Anolis sagrei: one gene and its partner. Each later gene encodes a partner of the first gene's protein in a complex. Links are inferred from orthologs where the notes say so. Each region holds a gene or a part of one and is shown in the gene's direction. Other genes may lie near its edges.

What was found.
Region 2: GTF2F2 (region 1) and POLR2B share a complex: the UniProt entries of both Homo sapiens proteins name them as parts of the TBP-based Pol II pre-initiation complex. The link is inferred for Anolis sagrei from reciprocal best matches to the Homo sapiens genes GTF2F2 and POLR2B.

Annotation. Positions count from the first base shown.
Region 1 is NC_090023.1:144,293,372-144,303,970, reverse strand, and holds the start of GTF2F2 (general transcription factor IIF subunit 2), read left to right. Parts: upstream 1-6,301; 5' UTR 6,302-6,426; coding exon 6,427-6,492; intron 6,493-10,599. UniProt on the Homo sapiens protein: TFIIF is a general transcription initiation factor that binds to RNA polymerase II and helps to recruit it to the initiation complex in collaboration with TFIIB.
Region 2 is NC_090022.1:195,385,193-195,396,044, forward strand, and holds the start of POLR2B (DNA-directed RNA polymerase II subunit RPB2), read left to right. Parts: upstream 1-6,401; 5' UTR 6,402-6,527; coding exon 6,528-6,546; intron 6,547-9,620; coding exon 9,621-9,693; intron 9,694-10,073; coding exon 10,074-10,224; intron 10,225-10,852. Other genes in the region: NOA1 (nitric oxide-associated protein 1), read right to left, coding at 2,932-3,901. UniProt on the Homo sapiens protein: Catalytic core component of RNA polymerase II (Pol II), a DNA-dependent RNA polymerase which synthesizes mRNA precursors and many functional non-coding RNAs using the four ribonucleoside triphosphates as substrates.

The DNA of each region.
Region 1 (10,599 bases):
GCATCTGGAGAGCTATTAATGCATCAGACCGCATGGGTCAGATGCTGTTTGTTTCTCTAGCAAGCAATTAAAAATCACAGAGGCTCCGGCTAACACATCTTTTAAAAATCAGCATGAAAGACGAGAACAATGGGGACAAGTAGAGCGCTGCTCGTCTGCAAGCAGTGTCATATTTGAAGCTCCGTGCACTGAAGTTTTCATTAGGTGTACGTGCCCAGAAAAAATATCTACCTTAAGGTTAATTGGCCTCATAGCTCATTCCAGCTTATTCATTATCCTGTGTAACATAACAGTAGTGAAGATGTCATATGAAGTACCTTCAGTTCTACCCAGTTTGCAAAGAGATTAAGGGTGCACCTTCACTGTTGAATAAATACTGTTATACGTCTCTTTAATAATAATAATAATAATCATCATCATCATCATCTTTATTTTTACCCCACCACCATCTCCCCAAAGGGAGATGGCTTACATGAGGCCAAGCCGGTAATACATTACAGAAGAATAAATAGAGAAAGAACAAAAAATAAAATAAAATAAAATAAGTAGAACATAAAAGTAAAATAAAACAGTGCAAAATAACAAAGTGAAAAATCAAACACAATGGGCGGGCCAAATGTACGACATAAAATGATAAAACTCTGGATGAGATAAGAATTAAAAGGTATACTTGTAAGAGAGGATCTCGTAGGGGATGGAACAGTGGAGACAGGCATTCAGAAAGGGGGGGGGGTGCTCAATGCTATGGAATCCTGGGAGGTGTAGTTTGGCAAGGCACCAATATTTTTGGCAGAGAATGTAAAAGCTTTGCAAAAGTAATAAGAGGATTCCACAGCATTGTGTCACAATAGTTAAAATGATGTCAAACAGCATTAATTCTATGGTGTAGAATAGATGCACCTTAGGTTGCATCTCTAAAATTACATGATCCTCCACCTGTTTTAATTTTCTGCTATATAAGCATGACAGTTGATAGAATATCTTGCACTTAAAAAAAAAAAGGGGAGAGCTGAAACTCTGCATGTTTCAGCCTGGTGATTTCCATCTGTGTTTCTTCTGGCCATTTCTTAATGTCACATAGCATCATATTTGGAGCCAAATCAGGGAATGCCTGAATAGTTGTTCCCAATAGTTAGTTGTTTTTTATTGTTAGCAGAGAAAGAGAGAAGATCAACATTGTTTAGTTTATAGCCGTGGTTCCCAACCTGTGGGCCTCGAGACCTAAAATAAGGTCTATGACTCTAGATTATTATAGTTTTCTGTAGGCAAGCAGATTGTGACTACTGGATGGTGTATGTTCTGTATCAGAAACTAGAGCTGTTGTGGTCTATCCAATGCAATTTTCTGAATCAGCACCCCAAATAACCAAACTGAATCTAAAGTTGACCAAAAACTGATTCATAACCCTTTTGGTACTAATATTGGAGAATGTTCATTGGTCAAAGCGGTCCCTGGTCAAGTGGTCCATGATCAGGCATGTAGCCGGGGGGGGGGGGGGCTTGGCGGCTTGAGCCCCCCCCCCCCGAAATTCTCATGGTGGTCCGCGAGAAGGCCTTACTAGTACATTATTTAAACTGTTATGTTTATTCATATCATGATCTGATCACCATGCTCAATATATCCCATATGCATGGGGGTATTGGGGTAACGATACAAAAGGTTTGCTAGAGCAGACCCTCTATCACTCAGACTCAGCCCCCCCCCAACCAAACTCAGCCCCCCCCCCCCCCCGAAACAAAATCCTGGCTACAGGCCTGTCCCTTGTCAAAAAAAGATTGGAAAGCACTGGTTTATGGTCATAGCATTAGTTATGTGCCAAAACTGGATAAGAATTGATTTCTAAGTGTCTCTTTTTAACAAAAGATTATTTGAGTGTCCTCAAATGAAAATTTAGTCAATAACCACACATTAACTAAACGTTTAGTTTGAATCTTGTGCTAAAACACAAAAATAATTATTGTCTGGGGACATTTATTTAATGTATGAAATGTGATTGTTCCGTTGCTTAGGAAACAGTTTTAAAAATGCTTCACCATGAGTGCCCTTGAAATACAAAGGAATAATGCTCATCCTTCCAGATGCCAAGGGGCACAGCTGTGTTACTAGTCCCTGGCTCATTGGGAGGAAAGTTACCAATACCTGATATTAAAGCACTAGTCTAGACATTTTGCTGCCTGCAGATGTTAGATACCAACTCCTGACGGCCCTAGCTAGCCTTCCTCATCAGATGATGGGGACCATGGTCCAAGAATACTTGGAAGACCACCCATTTGCTACGCCTAATGGATATTTTCCTGGTAGCAAACAAATATGAATAAGGATCCTTATGGATAGAAAAATATGTAAGCAAATATAAGTTCATTGTATAAGATAACCATTATCAAAATTGTTGTTGAAAAATTTATCTCCCCTCCAAAAAATAATGAATTAAACATAATTTCTATTATATATATATATATTTAAAATTAATACAAGTTCAGCAGTTGTGAAAGCCCTATGGTTCCATCTTTTGAAAGGGTTCATTTCTGCAACCAGCTGGAGCCTGGACATTCCTGGAGGGATTAAATCAGTGGTTCTCAATCTGTGAGTCCACATGTGTTTTGGCCTACAACTCCCAGAAATCCCAGCCAGTATAACAGCTAGGTTGCTGCGAGTTTTCCAGGCTATATGGCCATGTTCCAGAAGCATTCTCTCCTGACGTTTTTGTTTGTTTAATAATGTAATACAACTGTTTGGTTTGCTCCTGATACGATAAATAAATACCCTCTATAGCAAGCATCCTTTGAGGACAAAACATTAGAGCAGACTGCTTCTGGAACATGGCCATACAGCCAGAAAACTCACAGCAACCTAGTGATTGCGGCCATGAAAGACTTCGACAACACAGTTTACCAGCTGTTAGGATTTCTGGGAGTTGAAGGCCAAAACATCTGCAGACCCGCAAGTTGAGAACCACTGGATTATATCAATCATATTCTAACAAGCCCAAAAGCCCTGGGGACCCAGTGTGGTCTGGTTAGGTATTTTGCATGCTGTTTATTGTTTGATTTGGGGTTTTATGAATGGTGCTGTTAGAAATAGATATGGCTCTCTGGATGTGGGATACAAGAGGATCTTGGGATGTGGACAGAGCACAGCTGCCATCATCCTGGGCCAATCCCCACCAACATATGGTCATGATGGTAACCCTTCTCTCGGTCCCACCTCCAGTAGCTCCACTGGCTGCCAGTCTGTTACGGGGCATACTTCAAAGCACTTGACGGTTCAAGTTCAGGTTATTTGGTTGATCACATCCCTTTGTATGAACCTGCCCAGGCCCTGAGATCCCCAGGAGAGGCCTTTCTCTTACTTCCACCTCTATCTCAAGCTCAGTTGATAGAAATGAAGAGCAGGTCTTCCTTCTCAGTGGTTGTCCATCAACTCTGGAACCCCCTTCTTCCCAAGGAAGGCAGAATGGCCCTCTTCCTGCTTTTATATGTTTTTATGGATTTAATTTGAAATTTTAAAAATACTAATGATGTTTAAGGTAAAGCTAAAGGTTTTCCCCTGACATTAAGTCTGGTCGTGTCTGACTCTGGAAGTTGGTGCTCATCTCCATTTCTAAGCCAAATAGCCAGCGTTGTCCATAGCCACCTCCAAGGTCATGTGGCTAGCATGACTGCATGAAGCGTTGTTACCTTCCCACCTATTGATCTACTCACATTTGCATGCACAGCAGGAGCTCACGCCGCTCCCCGTATTTGAACCTGTGACCTTTTGATCAGCAAGTTCAGCAGCTCAGCGGCTTAACTCACTGTGCCACCTATTGATGTTTAATGCTGTTCTAATATTTGTATATTGGTATAGTTATGACAATGTCTAACGTTTGGTTCTGTTTTTATTATTATTACCAGCTTGGGGACCTGGCGGTGCCCAGGTTATTTGAGAACGGCATTGTTTGCCTGTGCTCCAAGTGTAGTTTAGGTCCAATGTTGGCTGGGTTCAGTGGTTGCAGGTGAACTACAGCTTCCATATGGAAGTTCCATTGACCATGGCCCATCCTCCTCCAAACTGCACCAGGATGCAGAATGGGTCACGGGGGCTCTGGTCTTGAACAGTTATTGGTATGTGGCACTGTGATCTGAGGAAGCGAGTGAAGGTACTGGAAGTCCCATCATCCATGGTCTGTCAGCCCAGAACCCGCACCAGGACATAGAGTGGGTCATGGAGGCTCTATGTGCCAAGTTTGCTCTTTATCAGTCATTGGTGTGGGTCTCAGTGTTCTCAGGAAGTGGGTGAAGGTACCGCAAGTCCCATCATCGATGGCCCATCATCTAACAAACCATGCCAGGAAGTAGAGTGGGTCATGGGGGCTCTATGTGCCAAGTTTGCTCTTGATCAGTCATTGGTGTGGGTAGGAATGGTCTCAAGAAGTGAATGAAGATACTGTAGTTCCCATCTTGTAAACTGTAACCTGCCCTGATCCCTCACTGAGAGACAGGGCGAGACAGAAATAAAGTTTTATAAATATTTTCAATTGTATGCTGATGTTTTTATGTTAACTGCTTTGCATCTCCTGCGGCAGAGATAAGGTGATGTATAAATAATAATTAATGGGTCTGTGTGTACCACATGTGGTTGAGATCCATCATTGGTGGGTTTCACAGTGGTCTCTGGATGTGGGTGGAGTGCAACCCCCATCAGGAAAAGGTAAAGGTTTCCTCTTGACATTAAGTCTAGTCATGTCTGACTCTGGGGGTGTGGGGCTCATCAAGAGCCAGCATTGTCCATAGGCACCTCCTAGATCATGTGGCCGGCATGACTACATGGAGCGCCTTTACCTTCTTGCCCAGGTGGTACCTATTTATCTATGCACATTTGTATGTTTTTGAACTGCTAGGTTGGCAGAAGCTGGGGCTAACAATGGGAGCTCACCCTGCTTCCCAGATTTGAACCACCAATCTTTCATAGAATCATAGAATCAAAGAGTTGGAAGAGACCTCATGGGCCATCCAGTCCAATCCCATTCTGCCAAGAAGCAGGAATATTGCATTCAAATCACCCCTGACAGATGGCCATCCAGCCTCTGTTTAAAAGCTTCCAAAGAAGGAGCCTCCACCACACTCCGGGGCAGAGAGTTCCACTGCTGAACGGCTCTCACAGTCAGGAAGTTCTTCCTCATGTTCAGATGGAATCTCCTTTCTTGTAGTTTGAAGCCATTGTTCTGCGGCCTAGTCTCCAAGGAAGCAGAAAACAAGCTTGCTCCCTCCTCCCTGTGGCTTCCTCTCACATATTTATACATGGCTATCATGTTTCCTCTCAGCCTTGTCTTCTTCAGGCTAAACATGCCCAGCTCGTTAAGCCGCTCCTCATAGGGCTTGTTCTCCAGACCTTTTATCATTTTAGTCACTCTCCTCTGGACACATTCCAGCTTGTCAATATCTCTCTTGAATTGTGGTACCCAGAACTGGACACAATATTCCAGGTGTGGTCTAACCAAAACAGAATAGAGGGGTAGCATTACTTCCCTGGATCTAGACACTATGCTCCTATTGATGCAGGCCAAAATCCCATTGGCTTTTTTTGCTGCTACATCACATTGTTGGCTCATGTTTAACTTGTTGTCCACGAGGACTCCAAGATCTTTTTCACACGTACTGCTCTCGAGCCAGGCGTCACCCATTCTGTATCTTTGCATTTCGTCTTAGCCTCTAATATCCTTTTGGTCAGCAAGTTCAACAGTTCAGCGGTTTAACCCGCTGTGCCACGGGCAGAACCCCCATTACTTCCCTCCCAAAAACCTCACTATTTTAAGATAGGTGTGATGGGTCTGTGTGTCAAATTTGGTCCAGATCCCTCATTGCTGGTCATGCGACTCTCTGGGTGAGGGAGCCATCCTGAAAATTTTTGTTGTTGTTCATTCGTTCAGTCGCTTATGACTCTTCGTGACCTCATGGACCAGCCCACGCCAGAGCTCCCTGTCGGCCGTCACCACCCCCAGCTCCTTCAAGGTCAAGCCAGTCACTTCAAGGATGCCATCCATCCATCTTGCCCATCATCCAACTTCCTTTTTCCTTCCATTTCCCCCAAGCATTGTTGTCTTCTCTAAGCTTTCCTGTCTTCTCATGATGTGGCCAAAATACTTCATCTTGGCCTCTAATATCCTTCCCTCCTGAAAAATACACGCATACATATTTTGACTTCTATTTATGCAGCTATGCAATCACAGGTGCCTCCATCAGTCCTGCCCTGGCCTTTCTTCTCCCTGGCCTCCCCGTAGGCGGGGCCTCTCGAACAAGCCACGCCCACCGAGGAGGTGTGAGCGCGCAGCCAGAGACGCGTTTGGGACGGAGGCGGAGGTTTGGACGCTGTCGGCCCCCGTAAGCCGCGAGTGTGCTGTCGATTCCTGCTCGGGTAGCTGCCGTTGTGGAGAGCAAGAGGGCCGCCATGAGCGAGAAGGGGGAGCTGGACCTGACCGGGGCCAAGCAGAACACGGGCATGTGGCTCGTCAAGGTGAGCGGGAGGGAGGAAGGGAGGGAGGGAGAGAAGAGGCCTCCTCTTTCCGGGAAATGGCGGACAAAAGTTGCCAAACAGGGCGCAGTGTGGAGAAAGTGGCCTCCAAGGCTGCCCACCCCCTCCCCGCCCCTCACTCGTTGTATGAATGCATGGCGGTGCCTGAGGGAGAGAGAGAGAGAGGGTGAGTGAGGTGGTGACAGCCAAGACTTCAGGGGGCTCAGTCCCAGTCATGAAGCAGGAATGATCTGCAATGGAGCCCTTGAGTGCTTAGAGAAGGAGGACACCAAGAAGTGCGCTCTTGGAAGGCCAGACTGTCAAGGGAGAGGGGCTGCATTGTTCCTCTTCCTCCCTTGTACCCAGGGCCACATCAGCCTCGTGGTTGCCTTCAAGGGGCCCTTAAGTCTGTGGAGACAGAGGGCCAACTATATTTTTTTAACATAGTGAGCTTTATCACTGGGTTGTTGTAGGGTTTTTGGGCTATATGGCCATTTGATAGAAGCATTCTCTCCTGACGTTTCGCCTGCATCTATAGACAGCATCCTCAGAGGTTGTGAGGCCATAGGTCAGTGGTTCTCAACCTTCCTGATGCCGCAACCCCTTAATACAGTACCTCATGTTGTGGTGACCCCCAACAATGAAATCATTTTCGTTGCTAATTCATAACTGGAATTTTGTTACTGTTATGAATGGTTTTAGTTGCTGGGATTTATAGTTCACTTCCAATCAAAGAGCATTCTGAACTCCACCAACAATGGAATCGAACCAAACTTGGCACCCAGAACTCCCATGACCAACAGAAAATACTGGAAAGGGTTGGTAGGCATTGGCATTGAGTTTGGGAGTTGTAGTTCACCTACATCCAGAGAGCACTGCGGACTCAAACAGTGACAGATCTGGACCAAACTTGGCACGAATACTCAATATGCCCAATATGTGAACACTGGTAGAGTTTGGGGGAAATAGATCTTGATATTTGGGAGTTGTAATTGCAGAGATTTATAGTTCACTTACCATCAAGGAGCACTCTGAACCCACCCCACAATTTATCTGCTCCAAACTTGGCACACTACCTACATGGCCAATATTGAATACTGGTGGGGTTGGGGCAAGCTGTTTTTGAATTCTGGGAGTTGTAGTTCACCAACACCAAAAAAGGAAAAGAAGGATAGGCAGACATATGTTCAGCCTTTTCTCCAAGAGGGTTACTAAGACCATCAGAAATATGTTTTCAGATGGACTTTGGTGACCCCCCCTCTCTGAAACCGTCTCGTGACCCCCCCAAGAGTTCCAACCCCCACGTTGAGAAGCACTGCCATAGATGCAGGTGAAACGTCAGGAGAGAATGCTTCTAGAACATAGCCATATGGCCCGAAAAACCTACAACAACCTATAGTGAGCTTGAGTTTGTTGCCCAGTTCAGGTCCCCAGATGTCATTAAACGACAGCTCTCACCACTTTGAATTATCCACCATGTGAACTGGGGATGATGGGAATTGAACCCAACAGCACTTGCAGCTCTGGGGATAGGGAAACGTGAAAAGACATTTTAAAGCCAGGCATCCTGTTCACAAGCCGTGTATCTCAATTCAAGCCCCACTCTCCTGACCTATCCTAAAGTCACTCCACTTTTTGCCAATTAATTTCCCAGCAAAGTACAAGGTGGTGGTTTTGATCTTTAAAACCCCACATAGTTTGGGTCCACGTCACCTAAAGGATCACCTTCTCCTGTACAATCCATCTTGTACACTTTGGCTTTGACTACTGCAACACGCTGGGGTTGCCTATGAAGACTGTTCGGAAGCTTCAATTGGTCCAACAGGTGGCAGCCAGATTACTCACTGGAGCGGGGTACAGGGAACATACAACCCCCCTGCTGCGTCAGCTCCACTGGCTGCCAGTTTCCTACCAAGCACAGTACAAAGTGCTAGCTTTAGCCTATAAGAAGCAACAAGATCCTGAGCTGCGCTAATGGGGATTCTCAATCTGAGGAAATCTAAGGTGATCCTCCCCCCCAATCCCCCCCTCTGACCCAGCCAGGGAGCCCGGGGCAATCAGGGGTTCCGAAAGAGGCCCGAAAAAGGTCCGGGGGTCAGATTAACCCTAAAGAAGAGAACGGAGGAGGAGGAGGAGGAGGAGCGAGGTAGAGCGCTGCCATTACAATGCAGCCGCCTCCCTCAAGCCTTTAAGATCTAACCGTGGCGGTTCCTCGCGACACCATCACCGCTGCTGCCACCACCTATCACCTTACTACAGCCCGTTGCGGAGTCACCTCCAGGCTATTGAGGGTAGACTGCAGCGGGCCCGCCATCCCAGGCACGGCCCGGGAGTGGCCTATCATCCCAGGCACGGCCGACGTCGCCGCCGACGCCGCCAGCGGTATTAACACCCAGCGCTCCTTCGGGCCTGCTAGGCCCCGCAGCCACGAGCCCCTCCCTCCCGCCGGTCCGGGGGAGGGAGAGAAGGAAGAAGGCCCTCGAGCACTCCGTCGGGCCCATTAGGCCCCGCCGCCGCGAGCCCCTCCCTCCCGCCGGTCCAGGGGAGGGGAGAAGGAAGAAGACTCTCCAGCGCTCCTTCGGGCCTGCTAGGCCCCACCGCCGCGCACTCCTCCCTCCCCGCTGAGAACGCGCTGCTCGGATCCCTCCGTGCTTCCATCTGGTGGTGGCCGGAGTGCAGGAGCTGTGTTGGCTCGGCGCTGCCATTGTATTGCATCGGCTCGGCCCCCATCACCAATAGCAGCGGCCCTCTGCTGGCTGAGTTGTGCCACCAACAGTGGAATTCCATCATTGACTGCTTCCTTGCCATCCGGATCTCATCGTCAACGCGGGACATTTTCCATCGCGCCACTAGCGTCCGGAATAAACATCGCCACTCCTCCATTAGTGGGGGCCCAAGCAACAACCGGAAGGCCTAGAAGCTCAGTGTTCTGCTGCTGCCATCCAGAACTCATAGCAACAGAAATCCTGTTACCTCCTGCAACATCGCCCCCTTTGGCTGGAGGTGCAATTGATATCACTCCACACAGCTGCTAGAAACTGTCTCCTTGGAGTCACTGCCTGCAATATATAAGACCAACCCCCATTAAGCTTCATCAGCTTTCCACTGGGACAGTCAAGAAGAACTAGGGGCCAGGCCAAGGGGTGCCGGCTTGCTGTCCACGGGCCCTAGAAGCTGGGCCCTATGGTTCTAACTGCCCATCCTAGTTGAATGACATCGGGTTTCTTCTGTGGGCACTGACTTTGAGTTATTGAACTATTGAGCACTTTAGTCCATCACTGAGACTCTATGGTACTATTAGAATCTGAGCCATAGAAAACCACCTAGCACTTTAATTTCTAGCACTTTAATCCTGCACTTTAGAACGCCTGGGTCATTATAAGCTATCAACTGGTCCCAAACCAATAAGCTGCTGTGAGGTGTGGCACTATAGCACTTTAGACAGCCCTGTACCCTAGGCAGACCCTAGCTCTACATTACGAACTACCAGCAATTGACTGATGCCACCACCTTTGTCAATTTTGTTATTACTGACAGCCTTCTCTGCCAGTGTTACTCAAATGCACTTTATGTTCTCCAATACATGGGAAGGAGTAGGAAGCAGGGGGGTGGAGGACCCTAGGGGTTCAGAGTTATACAACTACAACAATGTCTGCTATTATTATGCATCAACACCTGATACTTCAAATGAGGAGCTTGGAGGAATTTCCCCCGGGGTAGGTGGCTCTGCGGGTGAAGGGGCTGCTATAGAGGTGGTGACAGGTAGAGGGAGATACGGGAAAGGGAGAACAAATTACTCAATCCGACCCAAAATTTCTAACAATAATTTGGCGAATTCAAAACATTTTAAGGATGCAAGACAAAAACAAACCTGGCCCAAAAAGTACAATAGAACATTGGCAATCCCAAAGATTACTTATACTACAACTTTACAAACGATTCGGCCCGAAAACAGTAGGAATATATTGGCAACTCCAAAAAACCCTCCTGACAAGATACAGCTGAGATGACAGGATGGTGGTCCCTCTGGGTTAAGGGTGGTGCTGTTCAATGCCAGGTCGGTAAATGGAAAAACCTCCACCATTCGAGATCTAATTCAGGAGGAACAAG
Region 2 (10,852 bases), on another chromosome or scaffold:
GAGTTTTTTGGGCTGTATGGCCATGTTCCAGTAGCATTCTTTCCTGATGTTTCACCCACATCTATGGCAGGCGTCCTCAGCAGTTTGTGAGGTCTGTGGGCCATTAGGCAGGTGGGGTTTATATATCTGTGGAATGTTTAGGGTGGGAGAAAGAACTCCTGTCTATTTGAGGCAAGTGTGAATGTTGCAATTAGCCATCTTGATTAGCGCTGAATAGTCTTGCAGCTTCAAAGCCTACCTGTTGCTGCATGAGGGGATTCTTTGTTTGGGAGGTGTTTACTGCCACTTGATTGTTTGCTGTCCGGAATTCCCCTATTTCTGAGTGGTGTTTTTTATTTGCTGCCTTGATCCTGGTGGTTTTTTTTTAATACTGCCAGATTTTGTTCATTTTCATGGCAGTGCCCAAGCACAAATCAAAGAAAACAAAAGGCCTAATTCAACCAGAGAAGTCAGCTATAGCAAAGCACTTGATGAACCAACCTGGACATGGAATATTATTTGAGAACACATACATGCTGGACCACTCTGACAACAATCATGTCAAACTGCACAGAGAGACCATTGAAATCCATCAGAATGTGGACAATATCAATGGAAAGGAGGAAACCATAAAAATGAATAAAATCTGGTCACAAGTATTAAAAAGTACCAGAATCAAGAGAGTAAATAAAGAACAAAGAGAAAAAGAGGAATTCCAGGCAGCAAATAATTAAGTGCCAGTTTATACCTCCAAAAAAAAAAAAAAAAAAAAAGATGCCCCCAGGCAGCAGCAACAACAATTGCTAAAGGCTGGCCCTGTTGGTTTAGCCCTTTTGCCTCAGAACTTGTCTGAAAGGCTTTTCCCTCCTTTTTAGTCTGTATCAGAGTTTTAGAGGAGAAAGCCAGAAATTGTCTGGGTTCCTTGGCCTGGCAATCTAAACAGGCATTCTATAGCACATATATATACAAAATAGTCACTATAGCTTGTACTATACCATCACCATAGCTTAGTATATACCTCACAGACCGTCAAAGCTGTGTATACCTCATAGACCTTCATAGCTGAATTTACCAATAGTTTAGTCCAGTATTTTATTTTCAATAGCCAAGTATTTTACCAAGTGACTTACCACAATTATAGTCAAGTGTTTTACCTCATATTTTATGAATATAGTCAAGTGTTTTTTATCAGTGTAACTAAGTTCCATCAACAAACTTCACTTTGTAATATTTTATCTTGATTCGCCTTTCAAGAACTCTGACTTTCAAGAACTTTGCCTTTTGTTTCCAGTAAACTTATTTGGTTAACTTTGATTCTGTCTCAAGCGTCATTATTTTTAAAGAACTGAAGTACATCAGAGGGTATACCAATAGCCACCGGGTATAGCCAGACATATAGTTTTCCTTTCAACCCAGTGTGCCTTCACAACAATAATATAATACAACTTTATTTGTAACCTGCCCTATCTCCTCAAGAGGAGTCTGGGCGTTTTCCAACATAAAAATGGCTAACATGGTGGGGTATAAATATAAAGTTATTATACAGGGTTAGTCAAAATGCATAGGCCAATAAGCCATTCAATTGAATGGCTTATTGGCCTATGCATTTTGACTAACCCTGTAATTTGCACAATTAAAACTTGTGCGGCAGCTGCGCCCGTACCTTGGGAAGTCTGACTTGGCCACGGTGGTACATGTTCTGGTTACATCCTGTATAGACTACTGCAACGCTCTCTACGTGGGGTTGCCTCTGAAAACTGCCCGGAAGCTACAACTAGTACAACAAGCGGCAGCCAGATTACTAACGGGAGCGGGGTACAGGGAGCATACTACTCCTCTGTTGCACCAGCTCCACTGGCTGCCAACCAGCTTCCGAGCACAATTCAAAGTGCTGGTGTTGACCTATAAATCCCTAAACGGCTCTGGCCCTATTTACCTGTCCGAACGGATTCTCCCCTATGAACCATCAAGGTTATTAAGATCTTCTGGAGGGGCCCTGCTCTCCCTCCCACCGCCTTCGCAATCGCGTTTGGTGGGGACAAGGGACACGGCCTTTTCGGTGGTGGTCCCTCGGCTTTGGAACTCCTTCCCGATGGATATTAGATCTGCCTCTTCCCTCATGACATTTAGAAAGCAGGTAAAAACATGGCTTTGGGATACTGCATTCGCAGAATGATGACTGAGTCAATAACTGCTGACCATTCTAGCGGATGGCGATGAATTTGTGATTCTTTTGGATGAACTGATTTTTGCTGTAATTTGTATGAATTGTATGAAGTGTATTTTAATTTTATGTTGTTAGCTGGCCTTAGTCCCTCCTCGGAGGTGAGATGACCGGGGTATAAAAACTCTAAATAAATAAATAATTAGTGGGTTGTTGTAGGTTTTTTCAGGCTATATGGCCATGGTCTAGAGCAAGGGTCCACAAACTTTTTAAACAGACGACCAGGTCACAGCCCTCAAACTGTTGGGAGGGCCGGATTATAATTTGAAAAAAAACCATGAATTCCTATGCACATTGCACATACCTTATAAAAAACACTTAAAACAATACAATAATTAAAATGAATAACAATTTTGACAAATATAAACTTATTGGTATTTCAATGGGAAGTGTGGGCCTGCTTTAGGCTGATGAGATAGGATTGCTGTTGTTTTGTGCTTTCAAATAATTTCAGACTTAGGTTGACCCTGAGCAAGGGCCGGGTAAATGAGCTTGGAGGGCCGCATCCGGCCCCTGGGCCTTAGTTTGAGGACCCCTGGTCTAGAGGCATTCTCTCCTGACGTTTTGATGCATCTATGGCAAGCATCCTCAGAGGTTTAATAATTATATTATTATTACTTTCCGGATATCCCTTGTATTATTATGACTGGAACATGGTCCTACAGCCCGAAAAACTCACAGCAACCCAATGGAAGCCACCTTCGCAGGAGAGATGATGCCCCGCTGACCTGGCCAGGGTGAGATGGTGGCCCGGTGGATGGCCTGGGAGGCCCGGGACTTGCAGTAGTCAGAGTGCAGGAGGGCGTTGAAGAGGGTGGACTTCCCGGTGTTGGTGGCGCCCACCAGGTAGACATCCCCATTGAACTTCCAGGAGCGCTGCAGGCGGCTGATGAGGTCCTCCAGGCCGAAGCCTGTCTTGGCGCTGATCAGGTGCGGCTCCTCCTTGGCGGGGAGGCCCGCTTGGGCGCAGGCCTGGCGAAGGCTTCCCCGCAGGCGGCGCAGGTAGTCGTGGGAGTCTCCCGGGAGAAGGTCCACTTTGTTGCCCAGCACCAGGAGGTGGGTTTGGTCCCCGACCAGGCTGGACAGGTCGGGCAAGAGCAGCGACTCAGGGAGGTCGAGGAGGTCGGCCAGGAGCAGCACTAAGGGCGGGCGGTTGTGGCGCGAGGGGGCCTTCAAGGCGGCGCCGACCAGGCTGCGGAACTCCTCCCGGGGCAGCTCCACCTTCAGCGCCTGCCGGTGGTGCACCAGGAGCCAGCAGCGTTGGCACACCGCCCCCTCCAGGCCCTCGCCGCCTTCCCCCTCCTCTTTCAGGGCCCGGTACTTCTCGCTGGGCAGGTAGCCAGGCAGAACCGGGTCGCGGCAGTGCAGCTCGGCCCCGCAGCCCGGGCAGCCCACGCCGCTGGCCGGCAGCGACGGGTCCGGGAGGCCCGAGGCCTGGTGGAAGCTCGCCCGAGGCGGCTTCCGGCGCCGCTCTTCCGGCCTCGGGCCTGCTCTTTCTCGCGGCGGCGCGGGAGGCTTCTTCTCCTCCTCCGGGCCCGGCTCTGAGGGGAGGTACTCCGGGAAGACGAACTCCTCTTCTCCTTCCGCCGCGGCCCAGCCCTTGCCCAGCCCCGGGAAAGAGGCCAGGCCGCGGCGAGGCCTTGGGAGCGCCCCAGGCCACAACCGTCCTAGCTGCAGCGCCCGCCTCAGGCCGTTCATGCTCCTCCGTGAGGGAAAGCTGAGGGAAGGGCAGCGAGTCCGAGGGCCAGAGCGGCCCAAGCCAGCCAGCCAGCGAGCGTTCCTTCCGGAAGCAACACCGCCCCCTATCGGAGGCCCCTGGACTCTGCATAACTTCTCCTTTCAGGCTCCTCTGAAATGTGGCTGGGCCTCAAGGCTTGGCAATGGGCCTCAAAGCATTTTTTTCCGAATGAAGCAGAGAGTGTTTGAGGACCGGGACATCCGTAGGGATACCAAGATGCTTGTTTATAAAGCTATTGTCCTCCCAACCCTGCTATATGCCTGCGAGACATGGACTGTCTACAGACATCACATGCAACTCCTAGAACAATTCCATCAGCTGCAGATCTCTTGGGAAGACAAGCGGACAAATGTCAGCATGCTGGAAGAAGTAAAGACCACCAGCATTGAAGCGATGGTCCTCTGCCATCAACTCTGCTGGACCGGCCACGTTGTCCGGATGCCCGACCACCGTCTCCCAAAGCAGTTGCTCTACTCCGAACTCAAGAATGGAAAACGGAATGTTGATGGACAGGAAAAGAGATTTAAAGATGGGCTCAAAGCCAACCTTAAAAACTCTGGAATACTGAGAACTGGGAAGCCCTGGCCCTTGAGCGTTCTAGCTGGAGGTCAGCTGTGACCAGCAGTGCTGTAGAATTTGAGGAGGCACGAATGGAGGGCGAAAGAGATAAGCATGCCAAGAGGAAGGTGTGTCAAACCAACCACGACTGGGACCACCTTCCACCTGGAAACCAATGCCCACACTGTGGCAGAAGATGCAGATCAAGAATAGGGCTCCACAGTCACCTACAGACCCACCCCCAGTACACCGATCTTGGAAGACAATCCTACTCGGACAATGAGGGATCGCCTAAGTGAGGCCTCAAGGCAATAGGCCTCAAGGAACCCCCAGTGGTGCTGAGGAAGACATAGTTTTTAATAGAATTTTCATGGGTGCCAATGAGTGAAAGCCCTATATGTCCTCATTTTGCAGAGGCCTTTGTTTGACAGTTGGGGAAAATGCTGTCACAGAGAGGAAGTTACCTCTCAAATAAAAGTTCATCAGGACAAAACAGGTTAGCTAGTACCCCCTAATTTCCCAGCCGCTTGAAGTCCATGCTTGAAACAGAAAAGCACATAAGATTGGACCACTGAGACATTCAGGGCCAGAAATATGAAAGCATAATTGTGCGATTGTTAGCCACTGTGACTGTTTGCCTTCTTGATTGTTAGAGTCATGGAGAGCCAATGAAAATCGGTTAGTCAGCTTGGACCAATGGAATGATTGATTTTTGTACACCAATGAGACAATGCTTTCAATTTTCTGTGAAAGTGATAAAAAAAATTGCAACCCCATTTCAAGTTGCAACAAACGTTTTGTGCAATGGGCACAAAATGACCTGCTGTCGCCTGTTGCTTTGGCCTGCAATAAAAGCCTTTGTAGAAAGAATCCAACTTGTGGCCTCTTCCTTGCACCGCAGGCCAGGCCTTTAGGGGACTCCTAAGCTCGTGCAGAATTCGGCTGGAGTCCTGCTGGCACATTGAGTTAAACCCTTGTGCCAGCAGGACAGCTGACCAATAGGTCAGCAGTTCAATTCCAGGTTGAGCAGGTCCTTCTGTCAACTCCAGCTCCCCATGAGGGAAGCCTCCCACAAGGATGGTAAAAGATCAAACATCCAGGCATCCCCTGGGCAATGTCCTTGCAGAAAGCCATTTCTCTCACATCAGAAGCAACTTGCAGTTTCTCAAGACGCCCTTGAAACTAAATAAAAAGCCGTCAAGGCAATAGCCTTCAAAGGCAAGGGCAAACTGTGGCACTCCAGGTGTTCTGCACTTCAATTCCCACAATTCCTAACAATTCAATTTCCCACAATTCAACAGAAAGGAGGAAACTATGGAAAAAAGCAAAATCTGGCTACCAGTATTAAAAAATTCTAAAATCAGGACAGTAAATAAAGAACTACACTTAGGAAACAGAGGAATTCCAGACAGGAAACAATCAGGGCCAGTTAACTCCTCCCAACAAAGGATTCCCCCCAGGTAGGAAGCAACCAGCCTTTGAAGCTGCAAGGCTATTCAATGCTAATTAAGCTGGCCATTTCACAGATATATAAACCCCACTTGTCATAGTACAGCACCCAAATAGTTTCGCCATGTGGGCTTTCTTTATGCAAAACCAGTGATTTTCAAGCCTAGCTTTTTCAGCTGTTTTGTACTTCAACTCCCAGCAGCCTCCAGCAGATTGTTCAACAGTGATAAATTTTGGGAAATGAAATTCAAAACATCTGGAAGACTAAGATGTGGAAAACACTGGATAGACTCCATTATTGTCTATAGCAGGCATGGACAAGCTTGTCTAGTCTATAGCTTTCTTTGGCATCACCCTGTCGTGCGCACAATCGAATTGCGCAGGCGCCAAGGCTCAAGCTCGTTCAAAGAAAGCGCGTGCGCGAAGGGCCTCCAAGGCTCTCTCTGGAGTGAACGGAAGTGACGTTTGTAAGCGGGACGGAAGTGCCTGGGAAATGCGACCATAAGCTGGTGCTTTCGCTCGAGCGACGTTCTCCGCCTGTGTTTTCTGCTCCTGAGAGTTTGACTTGCCGCCGCCAAGATGTACGACGCGGACGAAGGTGAGGCCCTGCAGAGGGAAGCCGGAGGGCGAGGGGAAGGCAGGGGAGGCTCTCCTGAGGCGCTACGTCTTCCTCGTTGGGGCGGCTGAAGGGTAGCGATACCCCTGGAAGGTGTCCCTGGTAGCAGCTCAGCAATGGCCACAGAACTCCTGCCCTCTAAAAGAAGGCAGGAATTGTTTCCTTAGGGTGAGATGACGCACGTAAGGTCCAAGAGGCCAAACATCCTAATTGTGACTCCTTCCTCCATTTCTCTCATACACCTTGTCCCTCTCTCTTTTCTACCTTTCTTTCCTTTTTCCGATCCTTTTCCTCTTTCACTTCCCCCACTTCTCTTTCATTCTCTCTTTCCTTTCTCTTCCTTCTTTTCCTTTAATCCTTTCCTTTCCTCCACTCCTCCACTTCTCTCTCTCTCAGTCTTACCTTTCTCTTCTTTTATCCTTTCCTTCCTTTGTCCTTCTTTCTTTTCACTTCCCTTCTTTCTCCCCCCATATATTTCCCCCCACATTCCATTGTCTTCTTTCCTTTCTTTTTCTTCTTTATCTGTTTCCTTCCTCCCGCCGTTCCCCTCATACACATGTCACCTAGGCCCTTCCACACAGCCATATAACCCAGAATCTCAAGGCAGATGACCATATTTGCTTTGAACTGGATTATCTGAGTCCACACTGCCATATAATACAGCCCAGTGTGGATTTTATACAGCTGTGTGGAAGGGGTCCTAGTAGCAGCATCATTCCTTTTCTTTCCCAGTCACATCACAGAGGTCACTTCAACTCACCAATGGCCAATCCATTTTGATCATTTTCTTTCTCTCAGCTTTAGTCCCAAAAGGCTCAAACCCCTCAATTATTTGTGGTGCCAAGCAACCAACGTACATATATACTGATAAATAGATAGATAAATAGATATAGGGCTCTTCCAGACAGCTTTATAACCCAGAATATCAAAGCAGATAATACACAATATCTGCTTTGAACTGGATTATCTGAGTTTGCACTGCCATATAATACAGTTCAATGTGGATTTTATACAGCCTGTGTGGAAGGGGCTATAGATATTCTGAGTGGCCTTAGCCAAATTACTCATTCCTTCCCTCCCCCCACCCCCAATCTGCAACAGAAGAAAGGTCTGCAATACAATGCTTGCAAAACATTTTTCAAGCATATTTATTTTTCATTGGTGTTTACTTTATTGATTTAGGTTATTTGGGTTATTGCTATATATTTGATGTTTTTGTTTGCATTGTCACTACCTTGTAAGCCACCCTGAGTCCTTCTAGGAAGATGGGGCAGGATACAAATAAAGTTTTTTTCTTTTTATTATTATTTAAAACCTTGGAAAACTCTGAACACCTTTAAGGATTATATCAGCTACGTGTTAATGGTGGCATAGCCTGGCCAAGTTGAAGTTTCTAATTACTGAAGCAAGGCAAGATTCGCACCATAATTTATGGTTTTAATTAATCGCTTAAAGTAATTATGTTTCTTTATCCAGGTGGAGGGAGGATTGGGAAGGGAGGATACTTCATTTTAGTGGGGGGGGGAGTTGAAGGAGGAAAACCACTTCCCCCATTTTCACTGGTTATTCCCCCTCCCCACTTCCCTTATCATAGACAAGGGTTGTTTCCATGACAGAGACATGAGTGGGGAGAATAACAGGAAAACAGGGGAAAATGGTTTTGCTCCTTCAACCCACCTTCCACCCCAATAAAATGAAGTATCTTTCTCTAGCAGTCCCTAGTGGCCTCCACCCAGATAATGGAACAGTACCAAGTAAAGTTCACAGCATGGCATGTAATAAAGTAAATTAAAAGCAATGGAGGAAGCACCCTGAAAGCCTTTTCTGGTTACAGTACATTTACAATTCGGATCTCCACTCAGTGGCAACAGTGACCTTTGAGGAAGGGCTCATTCACTGGAAGTGGTGAAAAGGTGTTTGCTTGATGCTTTACAATTTAATAAAATGGTCAACCAGACTTGTCAAAGGGCCAAGTGCTTCTAAACTGCCTGGTGTCATGGGAAGGACAAGTTTAAGGAATTCACCAGCTGCTCTGTACACAATTCAAGGACACCTCTTAGACAGGGTATTCCACACATGAGACTCAGCCTGGATAAGCAGAGCAATTGAGCAACATCTCTCCTCTAACAAATGTTTCATCTTTCCATAGTGGGAACAGCTTGCTCTCACCATATCAGTTGGGCAGCAAATCACTCCCAGTTTCAATTTAAACTTTCTAGGAAGTGTCCAAGGTGCTGAACCCAGTCCTGCAGAATAAGGACTGGGGATGGAACCTTTAACATTTATATTAACATGATAATCCAGTGTAAACTATGAGTACCCTGCACTGCATGGAGTTGTGGCCACCTTTTCAACCAGTACACAGTACAGCTGAAGTAGGGAGTTTGATTTTCTTGCAAGTTGTTGATCTGCTTTAGACAGTGATGTCTTATAGAGCAATTATGAGCATTTTCAGTTGTAACCAACTTTCCTTACTTTACTGTGATATACTCATAAAAATGCCTAGTGCTGTATTCTTAATTCTTGGAAAAGTATTATAATTAGATATATGAAATGCCTTGATATAAATATGAATTCAGATCATGTTTTAGTAGTTTGCACAGAGGGAATCGAATCTCTATTCTTTGTAAGATTCTTGAATAGTAGACCTGGGCAAGGCCTCTGCTTTATTTAGTTTCAGAAGCATTGCATAAGTAAACAAGTTTAAACTGATAAAATAAAGGGATCATAAGCAGCTAAATAGTTTTAGACTCCCAGAAATCCCAGCCAGTTTACTAGCTGTTAGGATTTCTGGGAATTGAAGGCCAAAACATCTGGGGACCCACAGGTTGAGAACCACTGCTTTAGACCAAAAACAGGCAACAGCGACTGCATTGTCTTTAGCTTTAAAACAGTTCTTCCCGTGAAGGCCTCTGCTGAGATCAAAGGAAATAATGTTTGCAATTTTAGAAATAAAAGTGAAATATATTATCCCCATGTATTTTGTGAAAATATTTGCATCGAAAGGTTTTAAAAAAACGACTATGGAAGTGTTGGACTTTGCCTTTTCTTGGCAGATATGCAATATGATGAAGATGATGATGAAATCACCCCAGATTTGTGGCAAGAAGCATGCTGGATTGTCATCAGGTAAGTGTTCATATAAAGAATATGAAAGAATTCAGATTCACTCTAAAATAAACCCTTTTTAAACTTTGTTGAATTCCATTGAATTGAAGAACCTACCCATAATGTCTTCCACAGAAAACAATACATCATGCAACTTGAACATACTAGTATGTTTCAAGTCTAATACTGGAGGAAATTATTCTTCTGAAGTTAGGGATGTTACAATATTCACATGAATCAAAAAATGAAACGATGTATTTCTGCTTTGGAACTCTTGTGTAGTTCACTAACATTTTTATATTAATCAAGGAGGTCTAGGGAGGATATTTGAAGAAGCTATTTTGGAATGCGCTGTTATTCTGCAGTAGTAATTCTCATTGATTTTAACTTGTTTTGCAAAGCTCTTACTTTGATGAAAAGGGCCTGGTCCGTCAGCAGCTTGATTCATTTGATGAGTTCATTCAGATGTCTGTGCAGAGAATTGTCGAAGATGCCCCACCCATTGATCTGCAAGCAGAAGCTCAACATGCTACAGGCGAAGTAGAAGAGCCAGTAAGTTTTGATATGATGATGAAACAAATCCAAAATGTTGGTATTTTGTTTAAAGCAGTTTAGGAAAGGTATTTCATAAATGGGATGCCCTGCAGAAAAGGCTATTTTTTTTTTCAAGAGATGGGCTGGTAGAAGAAGCAGTGTTTCTTTGGGTATTTTCGTTCCAAGCCATTTGGAGCATTTAATACCAGTGCACTGTAGCTAATAGGTAACAAGTTCAGAGCTCTTAGAAATCCTACATTGTTGTACCCATTAGGAGACAAATTCTGCAGGCCACCTTTTAGGCATGTTTCTCATAAAATCAGCCTGGCCAACTAAAGTAGAGTTTGCTTCCCTTTTGTTACTAGTGGCAAGACTAGATCCAAATGCTTCCCAAAATATTTGCATCTGCTTCTTCAAGGAAAGTACAGTCCTGTTTTGAAGGATCTGTACACCAAACTCCCATTTGTTGCCTCTCATCAAAGCTATTAACTTAGTCTAGATACCAGCAATGAAAAATGACATGTGAAACAATAAGACAATCCTTAAGAAACTAATCATTTTACAACTTATGTTCCATGAAGCATAAGCATTTTCCCCATACACTTATCAGAAATGTGCCTATCCATCTCTCTGGTGTCTCTGATTT